Diceros bicornis minor: one gene and its partner. The protein of the gene in region 1 purifies or fractionates together with the protein of each later gene. This does not show direct contact. Links are inferred from orthologs where the notes say so. Each region holds a gene or a part of one and is shown on either strand. Other genes may lie near its edges.

What was found. The genes of interacting proteins can lie anywhere in the genome.
Region 2: the proteins of RHOU (region 1) and PAK1 purify together in Homo sapiens (co-immunoprecipitation; 5 studies listed by BioGRID and IntAct, with this or other methods). This does not show direct contact. The link is inferred for Diceros bicornis minor from reciprocal best matches to the Homo sapiens genes RHOU and PAK1.

The regions. Positions count from the first base shown.
Region 1 is NC_080745.1:25,743,744-25,751,135, reverse strand, and holds the start of RHOU (rho-related GTP-binding protein RhoU), read right to left. Parts: upstream 3,212-7,392; 5' UTR 2,934-3,211; coding exon 2,672-2,933; intron 962-2,671; coding exon 903-961; intron 1-902. UniProt on the Homo sapiens protein: Binds to and activates protein kinase PAK1. Plays a role in the regulation of cell morphology, cytoskeletal organization and focal adhesion assembly during cell migration. Also stimulates quiescent cells to reenter the cell cycle.
Region 2 is NC_080746.1:53,894,481-53,902,234, reverse strand, and holds the start of PAK1 (serine/threonine-protein kinase PAK 1), read right to left. Parts: upstream 3,364-7,754; 5' UTR 2,967-3,363; intron 1-2,966. UniProt on the Homo sapiens protein: Protein kinase involved in intracellular signaling pathways downstream of integrins and receptor-type kinases that plays an important role in cytoskeleton dynamics, in cell adhesion, migration, proliferation, apoptosis, mitosis, and in vesicle-mediated transport processes.

The sequences.
Region 1 (7,392 bases):
CTTGGTTGAGGCACCTGGCGACAGTGGAAAGCCTACTTCTTAAGTGCAGATGGTCATGTGACAACAGCTCAGAAAGTGAGACGGGCACTCTTCTCTGCCTACAAAGTGCCCCCAGCACTTTCTCTACCTCTAGCAAGCACTGGAGAGACTCCACGTTTATTAACTGTCACCTTGGCACACTCAAGTGACGGCACCCTGGGGCCTCAGAGAGCACAGCGAGACTTCAGTGACTTGAGCACCGTGCCAGGGGGATTGGGTGATGACGAGCCCCCGGAGCTCTTTGGGGGGACACCCCAAGGGGGACCTCCTCCCCACTGCCTGGCTGTATCATCCAAGTGCGTGGTCCTCAAGACAAGAACAAATGTTCATGATTTGAAAAGACTAAGTCCCAGGTCATTCACTCCTCCAGCCTAGGACAGCTCGACCGTGGCTTCCAGGGAGGCAGTGGCCCTAGTGAGTGAGCCCACAGCTTAGGAAGGGAAATATTAACACTTACTGACACAAACTCCATCTTTCTCTTGAGCAAATTTCTTAAATATTTGGCTTGTTGACCTTTAATAAAATGATTATAAGATATCTCCAACTTACTTTGAGAAATGATTACAAAGCATCATTGATAATTTTTAATATAAACCAGAAAGTAAATACAGTCAGAAACTCCTGTAAGATAAGAAGCGTTCTTGACTATTTTCCCCTGTCCTGCCCACATAAAGCTGGGCCAAACCCTGTTTTATTACTGCAGAGCTATCTCCCCACCCCCCAGACCCCTCCGAGAGGGGCCAACAGCAGGGGTGTGGCTCCTTCGTGAGGCTTTAGAACAACCCAGTTATTGAGGGAGGTTATTTGGAGACCTTTAAAAGGGCATTTCCTTTCCCAGCACTGAGCAGCAACAAGATACTGACCTGTCCTGCCGTGTCACAGAGCTGGAGTCTCACAGGCCGCCCATCCACGGACACCACAGCTTAAAAACAAGACCAACATGACCATCAGTGGGTGGCTTTTAAGCCCTTTCAGAAGAATGACAGTTTTAGCTCGCACTACCATTCTTTCTCCAAAGCCTTCAGCGCCTCTTCTGGGTCCCCTAGGAATTAAAGACTTGCCCAAAACAAGGAGTCATGGAGGCATTTCTGTACACAAAACCCCCAGGGCTGGCAATTCATCCTTTGCCACAGATGAGGCGGCAAACCCCTGAGCCCTTTGATGGCACCCCAGAAGAGACTGCGCCTTTCTCCCAGCCCAGGAGATTTATTTTCCTGTCACACTAGTTTCAAAACACCTAAAAAGAACACTGGGGGGTAAGTGGAAACCAACTTTACAGTTTTAAATCAGTGGAAAACCTCACAAATAATTGTTTTCCCTTGGGAAACATTCTGAGACTTCAGGGTGTATCATAAAATTGTAGCTTGTTTTGGGAACATGTGCAAACATAGGCTGCTGGCATCGTCCTGTTTATAAAAGTGGGCACTGCTTCTCTCTCCGTGTCAGCTCAAAGAGGACTGAAAAGAAAAAGAAAGGAAAGGACTCGAGCCCACCTTTCCACTTGTATGGGGCATGTGGGCAGGGGCCTGCATCAGGGCTCGGCCTGGAGGTTTCTACTTGGATTAAGCCTTCAGTTTCATCTCAATACAACTTTCTAAATTGTTTATAAATGTTTATACTCATCAGTTGGGAGAAAAAAGGGAAAGAAAGAATACCCTTTAGGTGGGAAACCCACTCGCACAGCACTGTTTTATCTAGGGTACCTTTGAGGGGGAAGAAAGCAAGCCCTTGCCATCACGACTTTTTAAGAAGTCAAGACGCAATTTTTTTTTTTTTTTAAGAGCAAGAGAGAGTAAGTGTTTCACACTAGCTTCTGTGGATTTTAATTTTTTCTTAAATTTCAAAAAGACATGAAAAATCATGATAAAGAATTTCTTTATCTTTGTATTTACTAAACCAAAAAACATAGCACCCCATACATAAGAGCTTTACGTAGTTCAAAGAGACACTGAAAAGATACTAAGAATCGCAAACTGGGCCAGTGCGGGAGGTGGCAGTGCGGCAGTGGAGGCAGGGGAGGGGATTCAGAAGAAAGAAATCGATCGTGTTTACTCTTCCGGTTGAATCCAAACCTAAGCCTTCACCGGTGCCATTAACGCTATTTTCACTAAATCAACTATTTTACCGTCTCCGCGGCTCTTTAAAGTGGAGAAGCCCCTTGAGAAGGCAGTCGCCGAAAGGAAAGGATTGACACTCGGGGCCACAGGTAATGGCACCTTCCGATTGAAAGTGGCAGCGGCGCCAGCAATGTCGACCTGACGCAACTTCTGTACGCGGCAAACTGACCGGGCCACCTGGACTCTACCTGTTTGATTCTGGCTCGTCTGTGACTAAATTGCGAGATGACTTTTTTTTCATAGCCTCTGACTCCCGGACCCCGCCCTCTCCTCAAGCTCTGGTTTTGGGGCTCCCCACTCCTCCGCGGTCCCTCAGTTTGCTTCGCGCTCGCCCCGTCCCCGAGGCTCGAGAAATGTCCCGCACTCTGCACTGGGTCCGCTTCCCGGCCAGAGCCGGGCCCGGGGCCCTGCAGCCCCCTTGGCGCCCCGAGACCCTCGCGCCGCGCTCCCTCTCTCGGCACCGTGTCCGTCAGCATCGCGTCCCCCGCCGGCCCCCGCCCCCGTGCCCCGCTCACCCGAGAAGTTGTCGAAGGCGGTGGGGATGTACTCGGTGGGGTAGCCGTTGGTGGTGTAGCTCACCACGAGGCTCGTCTTGCCCACGGCGCCGTCACCGACCAGCACGCACTTGATGCCGCGCCCCTCGCCACCGCCCGCGCGCCCCCGGCCACCTGGCGCCCCGGGTCCGCGCCCCCCGCGCCCCCCGCGCTCTCGGCGCGGCGGCACGGGCGGCGCCTCGCAGCGGCCCGGGAATGCGGGGTCCCCCTGCTGCGGGGGCATGGGTCCGCGCGCTCGAACGTGCAGACGCGCGCCAGCGGGACCCGGCCCGACCGTCCCTCCGTCCTGGACTTCTCCGGGAGGGAGGAGCTGTCACCGACCACTCCGGGACCGTCCCTGGGCCCCGAGAGCGGCGCTTCCAGGACGCACGGCTGCCAGACAAAGGCGGCCGCGGAGGGTCGCGGCTCTGTGCTCCGGAGGCGCCACCCGGCTCTGTTCCGCGCGGTCGGAGGACTGCAGGCCGAGCGCCGTGGAGCCCGAGCGTTCTGTCTCCTCCCGGCTTCCCGGCGACACGACGCGTGGGGGGCGGGCGGGGAGGGGAAAGAGGCGGGTCCGGCCCGGGAGCTCCGTCCCCGAGCCGAGGCGACAGCGCCCCCAGCCTGCGCGCTGGGCCCCTGCACCCGCGCCAGAGCCGGTGCCACGCCGGGCAGGCGGGGACCTCGGACGGCGGCTCGAGGGACCCCCGAACACCAGCTCCGGGGGCCCCTGAACACCCACTCCGGGGGCGGCGCCTGAAGGAGCCGGTCTGGCCGAGGGCAGCTTCCTCCCCAGCGCCAGAAACTGACACCATCGCCGGACTGGCCCGGGCGGCGCCCCCTGATTGCGCTCACGCGGGCGGGGAAGCCTGAGCTTCCCGCTGTTCCTCTCGCCGCGCGCCCCACTCGCCCCCACGCCCTCACTTTCCCTTCTCGGTCGGAACCTGAGCTGTGGGGTCCCTCTCTGGCCACGGCGCTCCACCCAAGAGGGGAAATAAAGTGTCTTGGGGACATGACGTCTGAAAGAGATGAATTAACAGGCAATTTTATTTTTTTTAAATTGTAGCTTCAGTCCATCGTGTGATTTTTCTTCTTCTAAAATAATTTCTTCTCATATCATTTGAGAGTAGAAGGGTGCCAGGTCCATGGTTAATGCTCGTTTGACTTTCTCTTTGGCATGCTATGAAGCAGCAAATTTCTTTATAGCCCCAATTCCTTCATTTACTTAAATGTAATTTGGTGACATTAAAATTACCTGAAAAAAAATTCCATTTATCTCTGACTCCTTCCTCTCTGCCTTCCTCCAACATTTAGTCAACAGTCCACTCGGAAAGCAGGGAAGCGTCCCTGGGCCCAGTCAGGACACAAAGGCTCCTCCGGGTTTACAGTGCAGTGCGAGGAGAGGCACACATAATCAACGCAAATACTGGTACTACAGCCAAGAATAATAAAAATAACCACAGCTAATAAATATTCAGCCTTTATCATGTGCCAGACACTGTTGTAAGCACTCTGCCTGAACTAATTCCTCTGATCTTAACATCACTTATCCCCATTTTACAGATGAGAAAATCTAAAGACAGTGATATTAAAGTGCTCAGGTTCCACAAGCTAGTAAGTGGCAGTGACAGGATCCAAAGGCAAATCGTCTAGCTCCAGAGCGGAAGCCCTTTACCAGGGTCCCGAAAGCATGAACAAGCCGTGTCATAAACTCAGACTTGGAAGCATGGCCATGGTGGGAAAGCAGAGGTGGATTTATGAAGAGGCTAGATGTTGAATCCAGGGCACTTTGCTTGCAGAGAACCCCTCCAAGGCCCTGGGGACCCTAGCAATATGAACACGTGGTTATATGTTTTTGTAAATCTTACAAAATAATATATTTTAACCACCAACAGTTAAGTCCGCTGTCTCATTCAACTCTAACTTCTCCTCGTATTGAGTGGCTTTGAAGTGGCAGTGGACATTTTAGGGATCAAGCCAAGGAAGGTGAAGTTGGGGAGACATTTTGTTTGGGTTTAATGGATACAGAGCCAGGACTAAGGTGAGATAAAAGAGTTGCCAAGGGAGCAAAAAGGTTTTTTTTGTTGTTGAGGAAGATTGGCCCTGGGCTAACATCTGTGCCCATCTTCCTCTACTTTATATGTGGGACACTCCCACAGCATGGCTTGATAAGCGGTGCACATGTCTACGCTGGGGATCCAAACCTGCGAACCCTGGGCCACCAAAGCAGAGCACGCGAACTTAACCACTGCGCCTCTGGCCCGGCCCCGGGAGCAAAATTTAAGGGGGCCAACCTTGTACTTGGCTGACCCTGAGAATGAGCCAGCCTTTAAGTGTTGAGCCTCAGGCACCTGGGTTGCCTCTCCCTAACCCTGCCCTTGATGGGATATGTTTATGTCATTTACAGCTCCTGTGTGTAGTTATGTTATTGCTGTGTAGGAATGGCTACCAGTGGCACGCTTGCTACCCTCTGTGGAGTCACGTTGGTGTCCACTGAACTGTCCTATGGTCCCCAGCACTGGAAGGGTTCCAGTAGCAAAGGAGGAACAGATTTTGAGATGGATGGAGCCAGAAGCTAGTCTGCAGTAATTCTTCCCATCATAAAACACACAGTATTGTTAGAGAGGGTTTGGCTCTCTTGACTACACCTGGTCAAAACGGAAGTTGTCTCCTGTCAGGAATATACTCTAAATGCAGCATATGCAGTTATAAATGCACCATACACTTTTGGAGGAAATCGCATGACAGAGAATTGATGTGAATTCCTACATTTGTGAAGACACAAACCTATAGTAGTATCTCAAACAGTAAGTGTACCTGCATGTTAAGTACATTTCCATTCTTCTCATAGAAAACATATCACAAAATTACAAAAGGGAAGGAATGATTGAAAGATACGCGGCTAGGAAGATATGGGGAGATGTTGTTCAAGGGGCACAAAATTTCAGTTATGCAAAAAAAAGTTCTGGAGATCTAATGTGCAACAGTGTGATTGTAGTTAACAATACCATATTATATACTTGAAATTTACTAACAGGGTAGGTCTTACGTGTTCTCAGCACACACACACACACACACACACACACACACACACAAAAGTAACTAAGTGAGGTGATGGATACGTTAATTACCTTGATTAGAGTGAATATTTCACAATGTATTCATATATCAAATTATCAAATTGTACTCCTTAAATATATACAACTTTTAATTGTCAACTATACCTCAGTAAAGTTGAGGGGGTAAGGGTATACAGCCAAAAAAATGTAAAAAAAAATAATATTGTCAAGGTATGTCAGCCAGTTTATTAAAAAGTTTTCTTGTGGATTTTTGTGAAGTTTATGGTGTTTGTCAGCCTTTTAAATTTTACAGCTTGTTGTGACACATTTCTCATTTTAAATCAATATTTATTTTGTACCTAATTTTCTATTCTTAAATTTTTATACTTTCTTTTAAAGAAGGTCCCCAAATTTGATAAGCTTCAGGCCCTACCAAATGTGGCTCTACCCTGACAACTGGCAAGATGTTAGTTTTTGTATCCTATAGCCTCCGACTCTTGCTTTACTCTCTTTTATCAAAAAAAAAAAAAAATTGGGGGTCAGCCCGGTGGCATAGCAGTTATCACGCTCCACTTCAGTGGCCTGGGGTTCCCAGGTTCAGATCTCAGGCATGGACCTACACATTGCTTATCAAGCCACCCTGTGGTGGCAGCCCGTATAAAGTAGAAGAAGATGGGCATGGACGTTAGCCCAGGGCCAATCTTCCTCAGCGAAAAAGAGGAAGATTGGCAACAGATGTTAGCTCAGGGCTAATCTTCCTCAAAAAAAAAAATCTGTTTAATTTATTTAAACTAAAAAAAAAAAAAAAAACAGTTCACCCATTTCTTCCACCCCCCTACACCTTATCTCTTGCAACAACCAATCTGTTCTCTCTATCTATGAGCTTGTTTTGTTGTTGTTGTTTTAGACTCCACATATAAGAGAGATCATAGAGTATTTGTCTTTCTCTGTCTGACTTATTTCACTTAGTGTAACGCCCCCGAGGTCCATCCATGTTGTTGCAAATGGCAAGATTTCCTTCTATTTTATGGCTGAATAAGATTCCATTGCATATATATGCCACAATTTCTTTATCCAGCCATCCATCAATGGACATTTAGGTTGTTTCCATATTTTGGCTATTGTAAATAATGCTGCAGAGAACATGGAGGTGTATATATCTTTTCAAATTAGTGTTTTCGTTTTCTTCAGATAAATACCCAGAAGTGGAATTGCTGGATCATATGGTAGTTCTATTTTTAATTTTTTGAGGAACCTCCATACTGTTTTCCACCGTGGCTGTACCAATTTACATTCTCACCAACAGTGCACAAGTGTTCCCTTTTCTCCACATCCTCGCCAACACATGTTATTTCTTGTCTTTTGAGAATAGCCATTCTAACAGGTGTGAGGTGATAGCTCGTTGTGGTGTTGATTTGCGTTGCCCTGATGATTAGTGATGTTGAGCACCTTTTCGTGTACCTCTTGGCCATCTGTATGTCTTCTTTGGAAAAATGTCTATTCAGATCTACCGCCCTTTTTTTTTTTTTTTTTTGCTGAGGAAGACTCACTTTGAGCTAACATCTGTTGCCAATCTTCCTCTTTTTTTTTTTTGCTTGAGGAAGATTTGCCCTGAGATAACATCTGTGCCAATCTTTCCTCTATTTT
Region 2 (7,754 bases), on another chromosome or scaffold:
GTTTTCAGGTCTTGGCTAAAAGGGCAAAAGTTAACTTTGGTGGAGAAAGACAGACGTAATAGGGAAGAAAAGCTCAGTCTAAAATCAATCCCCAAAAACGTTACAATCCACTGAGATTTGTATATTGAAGTATGGTTCCTCTTCATTCTGAGAACTATTCTTGAATAAAACCCCAATGTAGCAGCTGGCAATAAACGATACTAGATCATATTATTCATTCAACGAATACCTGAGCGCCTGCTATATGCAGTCACTATTCTAGGCACTGGGATTACAGTTGTGAACACACCAGACAAAATTCTCTGCTCTCAGGAAGCTTTCATTCTAGCGGCAAAAGACAGATGACAAACGAATGCAATGGAATAGAATAGAATGGAATGGAATGGAATGTCAAGCAGTAAGTGCTATGAGAAAAAAGAAGGGAGGGAGGGACCTGGCAAGAAGCTGGTCTTATCAAGAGCAGATCTTTTAACATAGTGGTTCTCAAACTTTAGCAGATATCAGAATCACCTGGAGGGCTTGTTAAAGCAGAGGTTTTGGGGCACCAACCCCAGAGTTTTTCAGTTGTAGGTCTGGGATGGGACAAATCATTTGCAATTCTAACAAATTCCCAGATTATGTTGATGTTGCTGGTGCAGGCACAACACTTGGAGCTATTGTTCTAACCCAAAGGATCAGGTAACCTCTGTCTCATGGGTCTTGACTTGCTTCTTCATTCATACATTCATTCATTCATTTCAAACACTTACTCAGTGCTAGGAACTTTGCTAGGCACTAAAACTAAACAGATCCTGCCCTCAAGAAATTCACAGGTTAATGAAAAGACAGGCATAAACTCAAATAATTGCAATAGAGGGCTGGAGAGCTGTAAGAGTGGTATATACATGAACCAGAGGATGGAAGAGCGACTCATTCTAAGGAAGTAATAGGAGAAGAGATTAAGGTGCTGCTGCCCAGAAGTCCAACAAGCACTTATCCACCGACAGGTAGGGGGTAGGAGGCCGGCATTCTGAACAGAAAGAACAGCACGTGCCAAAGTAGAAATGAGAAAGAGGATGGCAGGGGAGTTAACAGAAAGTAAAGGGGCAAAGGGAGGCCGTAGTCTGATCTCTGAGAGCTTCTTATTCATGTTCAAGAGTTTGAAAACTTATCTTTAGGTAATGACTAGTCAAGGGTGGGAAGAAAAAACGTGATTGGTTTTGTTTTATAAAGATCTCTCTGGAGACATAGTGCCCGCCTTTCAGAAAGCACTGCTTCCTCCAAGCCTAACACGGGGCTTCATAATGTGCTTAGTAAACGATATTGAATTGAACTGAACAAGCTTTTTGTCTTATAAATGAGAGACAGGTCACCACCTTCCCTGCAGGACTCACTTTGGCCAGGACAAGACTTGTAAAGCAGGTCCAGCAGCCTCAATTATTGCACCCTACTCCCTGTACAACGGGAGTCCCCCAGAGATTAGGGCAGGCCTTCATTGTTTACATGCCGACCTCACCCACTAGACTTTGAGCTCTTTATAAAGACAAGGAATGTCTGAACAGCCCCCATAGTTCTAGCAGGAGACCTGAAACAGAGTAGCTCTCCAGACTCCAGTAATGTTGGGTAAATGAATGACTGAATAAAGCAAATTTACCAGCCAGACCTAGGAGCCCCTATAGGTAAGGTTATAGACAAGCTTCAGAGACTGTTTCTGGGTTTATGTTCCCAAAACCGTTTTGGAGCAGTGGAGTTTCTAGGTGAGGTGAAGTGGATTTCATATGCACCTGGTTTAAGATTTCCCAAATAGGAACAAAGAATGTTACAAGTGCTGTAGTAGAAACCCTACCAGGCCTCTGAGGGCCTCAATGAGAAGTCAGTTTTGCCTGAGTAGTTTGGGGGTGAATGCCAGCAAAGACTTCATATGGGGTGGAGAGGGTTCTTCAGTGGAGTCTTGAAGGCTGAGTAGGCGCTTGTTACCTGCCTGTTTCTAGGGCATAAATGCAAACCCCCGGAGCTTTAAGGCTGGAAGTGACCTGCCCAAGGTCACACAGGAAGTAGGTGAAGTCACAAGGTGAGACCAATGAGGCATCTATGTACCGTGTACTGTTGACTGTTTTCTCCTGACAAAGTTGTGAGAGTCCAAAAACACAAGAGGAAAAACTAAAACAATTTTCTCAGGAACAATTCTTAAAATAAAGGCTAGACTAATGCATTTGAATTTTTATTGGTAACCGTAGTACTAACTCTTCCCTTCACCTTTCACAGTTCTGGAGGGGAAAGTCTAAGACAGTTATCCAAGGGGTTTAACAAACAAGCACTTTGCTCCCAACACCCAAAACTTCTCAAGTATTCTTCCAAAACACTCCCAGCATTTTTTGCTGTTAAAATATTCAAGACAGTAAAGGCTATAATAATGTCTTTTGAAATGGAAAAAGGAACATAAAATAGCTATAATTCTCCTTTCCCTGTGTTTTTAACTCCACAAGTTGCCGAGTACCCGGGGTGGGGGAGGGGCTGCAAACCCAAGCACCATCCAGTCGTGTTTTTCAAGGAGCTGAACCCTCCAGGTGAGTCCCAGGCCCGGACAGGGGTGCGTTTTCCAGGCAGAATGAGTCGGACGCCCCTGTGCTCGGCTGCCCCGTGGGGGCCCAGGGTTAGCGCCGGACGACTGCAAAGTTCGCGAGGGAGTCGCTCCGCGCCCGGGACCTGTCGGGGCTCCCGGCCCCTCCCCTGCCCCCTCCCGGGTCCCCGGGGTCCCCAGCGCCTGAGCCCGGCGGCCGCGCCGGGGGTGCAGGGGGCCTTTGTTGGTCCGACAGGAGCGGCCAGCCCCGCCTTGCCTCACCTGGGGCCCCCGGCCGCCCGCCCGACCCCGGCGCGCGGAATGAATGGGCCCAGGCCCCTCACCCCGCGCCCGCGCCCACGAGCACGCCCGCGCCCCGCCGGGCAGCCCGGCCGCCGGGGGTACCGGGCGGGAGGCCGGCTCTCACCTTCCGCGCTCACTCGGCTCTACTCGGCTCCTCCTCCTCCTCCAGCCGGTGGCGGCGGCCGAGCCGGGAAGGGAGCGCACGGGGAGCCGCTTCACTTTCTCCCTCCCGCCGCCGCCGCGCGCTCGACGCCTCCCCCACCCCGCTCGTGCCGGGAGTCCCCTCAGGACAGGGGGGATCAGCGACCGAGAGGCGGGCCGGAGGGAGCTGGGCGACGAGGCTGAGGGGGTGCGGTGGGGGGTGGGGCCTTGAGGGGGCGCGGGCGGACTCTGGGGGAGGAGGTGGGGAGACGGTTCTTTGAAGGGTTTTGAGAGCGCGTGAAAGAGGGGACAGGAGTCCGAGGGGAAGCGTCTGTGGAGTAGGACGGCAGAGCGGTGAGGGAGGCGCGAGGGACGCAATGAGGGGCGTCTCCTGTGCTGCCGGCACCTTGGGCTCCAGATGCAGCCGGGGCCGGGTCGCCTCCCCCGCCCGCCCCGCGCTATTGTATGCCGCCGGCCCGGGCCGACCTCCTCTCCCCCGGCCCCCGCCCCTCCCCCGGCCCCCGCCCCTCCCCCGCGAGGCCTCGGCGCCGGCGGAGCCCGGCCAGCCCCGCCTCCCGCAGGTGGGAGGGGGCGGGGAGGACCGGACAGACACGTGAGCGAGGCCGACCCAGGCGAGGGGGATGGGGAGCGCCTTGAATGACGTCATCGGCGCATGACGCCAGATGGTGGGGAATCACCCGGCTACCGCGTGACGTCATTGCGCCCGCGTCTCGCCTCTCACCCCGTACTGTCTGCCGGTGCAGGCTTTTTTTGACGTGCCCTGTCCCCGGGAAGGTTTGGGGACGATTTCTGGAGGCATTGGTGGTGTAGTCAGGGTCAAAAAAGACAGCTAATCCCCTGGTTTTGTGGTCTTCGGGTTACAAAGCACCACAGAATCCTCTGGGTCATTGCCAAAAGCTGAATTTGAAAACTACCTCATCTCCTGTGACCTCAAAGGCAGACATTTATTATACTATTTGCTTTCTTTGCGGGGGGAGGGCCAGGGAGACAAAGAAATGACAATGGAGGTTTGAACTATCTTGAAATAAATGGGTTCCCTTTCCCGTTTTTCTCCTACCACTGAGGCTACATTCAACCCAAACCTTTCCCCTGAGCTCAGATTCTGTATTTCCGAGTGCCTCGTGGACAGCGTCGTTTGCATACTCGACTGTACCTCAAATTCCACAAGTCCAAAACAGCGTTAGTGGCTAAGGGAATCATTGCCTTGGTTCAAATCCCAGCTGTAGAAATGTTAGTGATAGGACCTTAACCTTTCCAAGCCACAATTTCTCCATAATAAGTAGTACCTGAGTATCCTTAATTTGATCTCTCTAAGCCCCAGTTTTTCCCTAATAGTAATAACTACAATTTAGCACGTATTAAACCCTTGGGAATGTTGGCTATTCCTATTACCATTTTCCACCAAACTTGTGACTCATGCTGTTTCCTGGTCTCAGTGAGTGGACCACCATCCAGCAGTCCCCTAAGCCAGAAACATGGACATAGCCCTCATTCTTCCTCTTTCAACACCTTTATCAAATTAGTCCCCAAATCCTGTAGAGTCTCCTTAATATTTCTTGAGTCCTTGCCCTTCTCTTCACTCACTACCTCCTGGACAACTGGAGCAGGTTTCAGCCTCTCCAAATCCAATCCATTCTTACATACAGGGTAGCTTTTTAAAACCACAAATCTGATGATGATCACTTTTAAATACTGTTTAAACACTCTGAAAGGCTTTTGTTGCTTTTAGGATAAAGTCCAAACTCCTTAACTTGGCACTGTACAACCTTGGTGCTTAACAACAGCCTTTCCAGCTTCCTCTCACACATGTTATCTTTTGCTCCAGCCACACTGAAATACTACTTAATGTTCTTTGAACACACAGTTCTTCATTTCTCTGGGCTCTTCTCTCTTTATGTCATTGGCCAACACTCATTCATTCTACAAAGTCCAGCTCAAATGTCATGTTCATTTATTCATTTGACTAATATTTCTTAGTTTCTCTGAGCCTTCACAATGCTGTAATCCGTAGTACTTCCCTGCCTTTTATGGCGTGTAGCACACTGTGTGGTAACTGTACTTGTGTATCTGACTCCCTGAGCCCCTCGAAAGCAAGTCATATTCCTGTCCATGCTATCTGGATCCCCAGTGTCTGACACATAGTAAGAATCAATGTTATAAAAATGTATTTAATAGATGTTCACATAGTGCTTACTATGTGCCAGATACTATTCTAAGCACTATCTCCTTTAAACCTCTAACAACCCTTTGAGATAAACTACTGTTATTCCCCCATTTTATTGATGAGGAAATGGAGACAAAGGGGGATTAAATAACTTACACCGACAGTGAATTATTCTAAACGAAACTGTTTTTGCATGGTCTCTGTGTAGGCAGAATAATGGCTGCCTAAAAATGTTCACATCCTAATCCCCAGAACCTATGAGTATGTTACCTTCCATGACAAAAGGAATTTTGCAGGTGTAATTAAATTAAGGATCTTGAGATGAGGGGGTTATTCTGGATTATCCAGATGGATTTAATGTAGTCACAAGGTTCCTTAAAAGTGGAAAAGGGAGGCAGAAGAGTGAGGAAAAAGTCGATTAGACTACAGAAGAGGTCAGATGTGAGATGTGATTCAATGTGAGAAGCACTCCGCTCACCCTTGGAAGACAGAGGAAGAGAGCTACCAGCTAAGGAATAAAAACAACTCCAAAAGCTGGAAAAGGCAAGAAAACGGATCCTTTCTTGGAGCCTCCAGAAAGGAACAGGGCCCTGCCAACACCTTTTAGCCTAGTAACACCCATTTTGGACTTCTGAACCCCAGAACTATAAAATAATGAATATGTGTTGTTTTAAGCACTACATTTGTGATAATTGGTTACAACAGCAATAGGAAACTAAAACAGTCTCAGATCAAGGGCGGCTGCACTATCCTAACAAGTGGGAGAGGGCTACTTGCTAGAGGTGCAAGCTTCTCAGTTGCATCCACCCAAATATCTCCATCCCAGCCTCGGGGTCCCACTCCCACCTACAAGAACCCTGGCTTTAGCGTTAAGAGAACAGTCAAAGGATCTCTGCCACCCTAACTATTACATTCTGGGCCTGATTTTCAGCATAGTCTGCTTTCCAGCTTCAAGAGAAGAGAGTTTTTAAAAAATCTTCCATGGAGCTCTTTTGGCTTTCATACCTGGTCCTGAATTGACAGGTGGATGACCTGAGCCTGAAATTCTCTTTCTTCAAGGCTTTTAAGATAGTTAACAAAATCAAGCCAATGCTACGAAATTAATTAACATTACCCCCATACCATTCAAGTGCTAGAGCATGCATTCTCAATGGGGGCAACATCTCCCCAAAGGAAGTGAAAACTGAAAAAATATCTTAGATATTACAATGGTTTGTGGCCTCCAAATCTCAACCCTATTTGACAAAATCTTATTCCTTAGTATTTAACTTCTCTGGCCAGGGATGCTTTATTTTTATGTACTTTTTTATTGAGATATAATAGACATATAACATTGTATTAGTTTTAGGTGTACAACATAATGACTTGATACATGTATATATTGTGAAATGGTTATCACCATAAATTTTGTTAACATCCATCACCACATATAGTTACAAATTTTTTTTTCTTGTGATGAGAACTTTGAAGATTTACTCTCTTAGCAACTTTCAAATATACCAAGTAATATTGTTTACTATAGTCACCATGCTGTAGATTACGTCCCTAGGACCTTATTTATCTTACAACTGGAAGTTCATACCATTTGACCACCCCCCACCTGGGATACTTTAAATTTAATTTAATTTCTCTCCTTAGGAGGGTAATATTTAAAATTAAATTAAATTAAAAAGGTTGAGAATCCCTGTGCTACAGTTACTGCATAATCTGATGTTCTCCTTCCACTTGTGCTTCCAGTCTACCGCGAGTGAAGAGCTTGGTTGTTGGGACAGCACAGCATGTCAGGGTCTATCACTGCTCAACTTACCACCAACAATAGAGTCCTTGTTGCCGTATGATCAGTGAGTGATTCAGTCCAGAATCCCATCCTGAGGGTCTTTACTCTGGGATAACTCTTGGTCTCAACTACCTGAGTTTAGGTCTCCCAAAATCAGAGCCTGAGATAAATACTTGGGTGTAGGTAGTTTATTTCGGTGTAGGTAGTTTATTTTCCCAATCCTAGGAAACTGGAATGAGACGAGAGAAAGGGAAAGCCAATGTAGCGTGTGTTATTGAGGTTCTCACTTCTGTCAGAACTTCAGAGAAGCATACAGAATGCCTCCCAGAATAGACCACCTGGAAGATGAGAGCTTTTGTCTACTGGCTTCCATCTCTCATTGAGTGAGGGTTATCCCCAGGGCTGTTGACTCCCCTAGACGTTGTGGCTTTGTTTGCAAGTCTAGCAAGTGACTACAGATGTCAGAGAAGGTCCAGAGGCAGAATAAGGAAAGATGTGAAGTGTACATTTGAGGTGACACACTAGCAGCATGAGGGGAGTTGGAACTGTTCACCACAATTGCGGCTGAACTCAGAGGTGGTCTAAGGGAATGTGACAACAAGTACCAGAGATGTCTGCTACAGACTAAGTAGGTTTCATTTATACATTCACATTGTAAAACCAACTTTAGTAGATAATTGCAAACCTGCTTTCCAAAATAATTGAACCAATTTACACTCCCACCAGTTATTCCATATCCCCACTAATACTTGGTATTATCAATCTTTATTATTTTAATCATTCAGGCAGGTATGTAGTGATCTTGCATT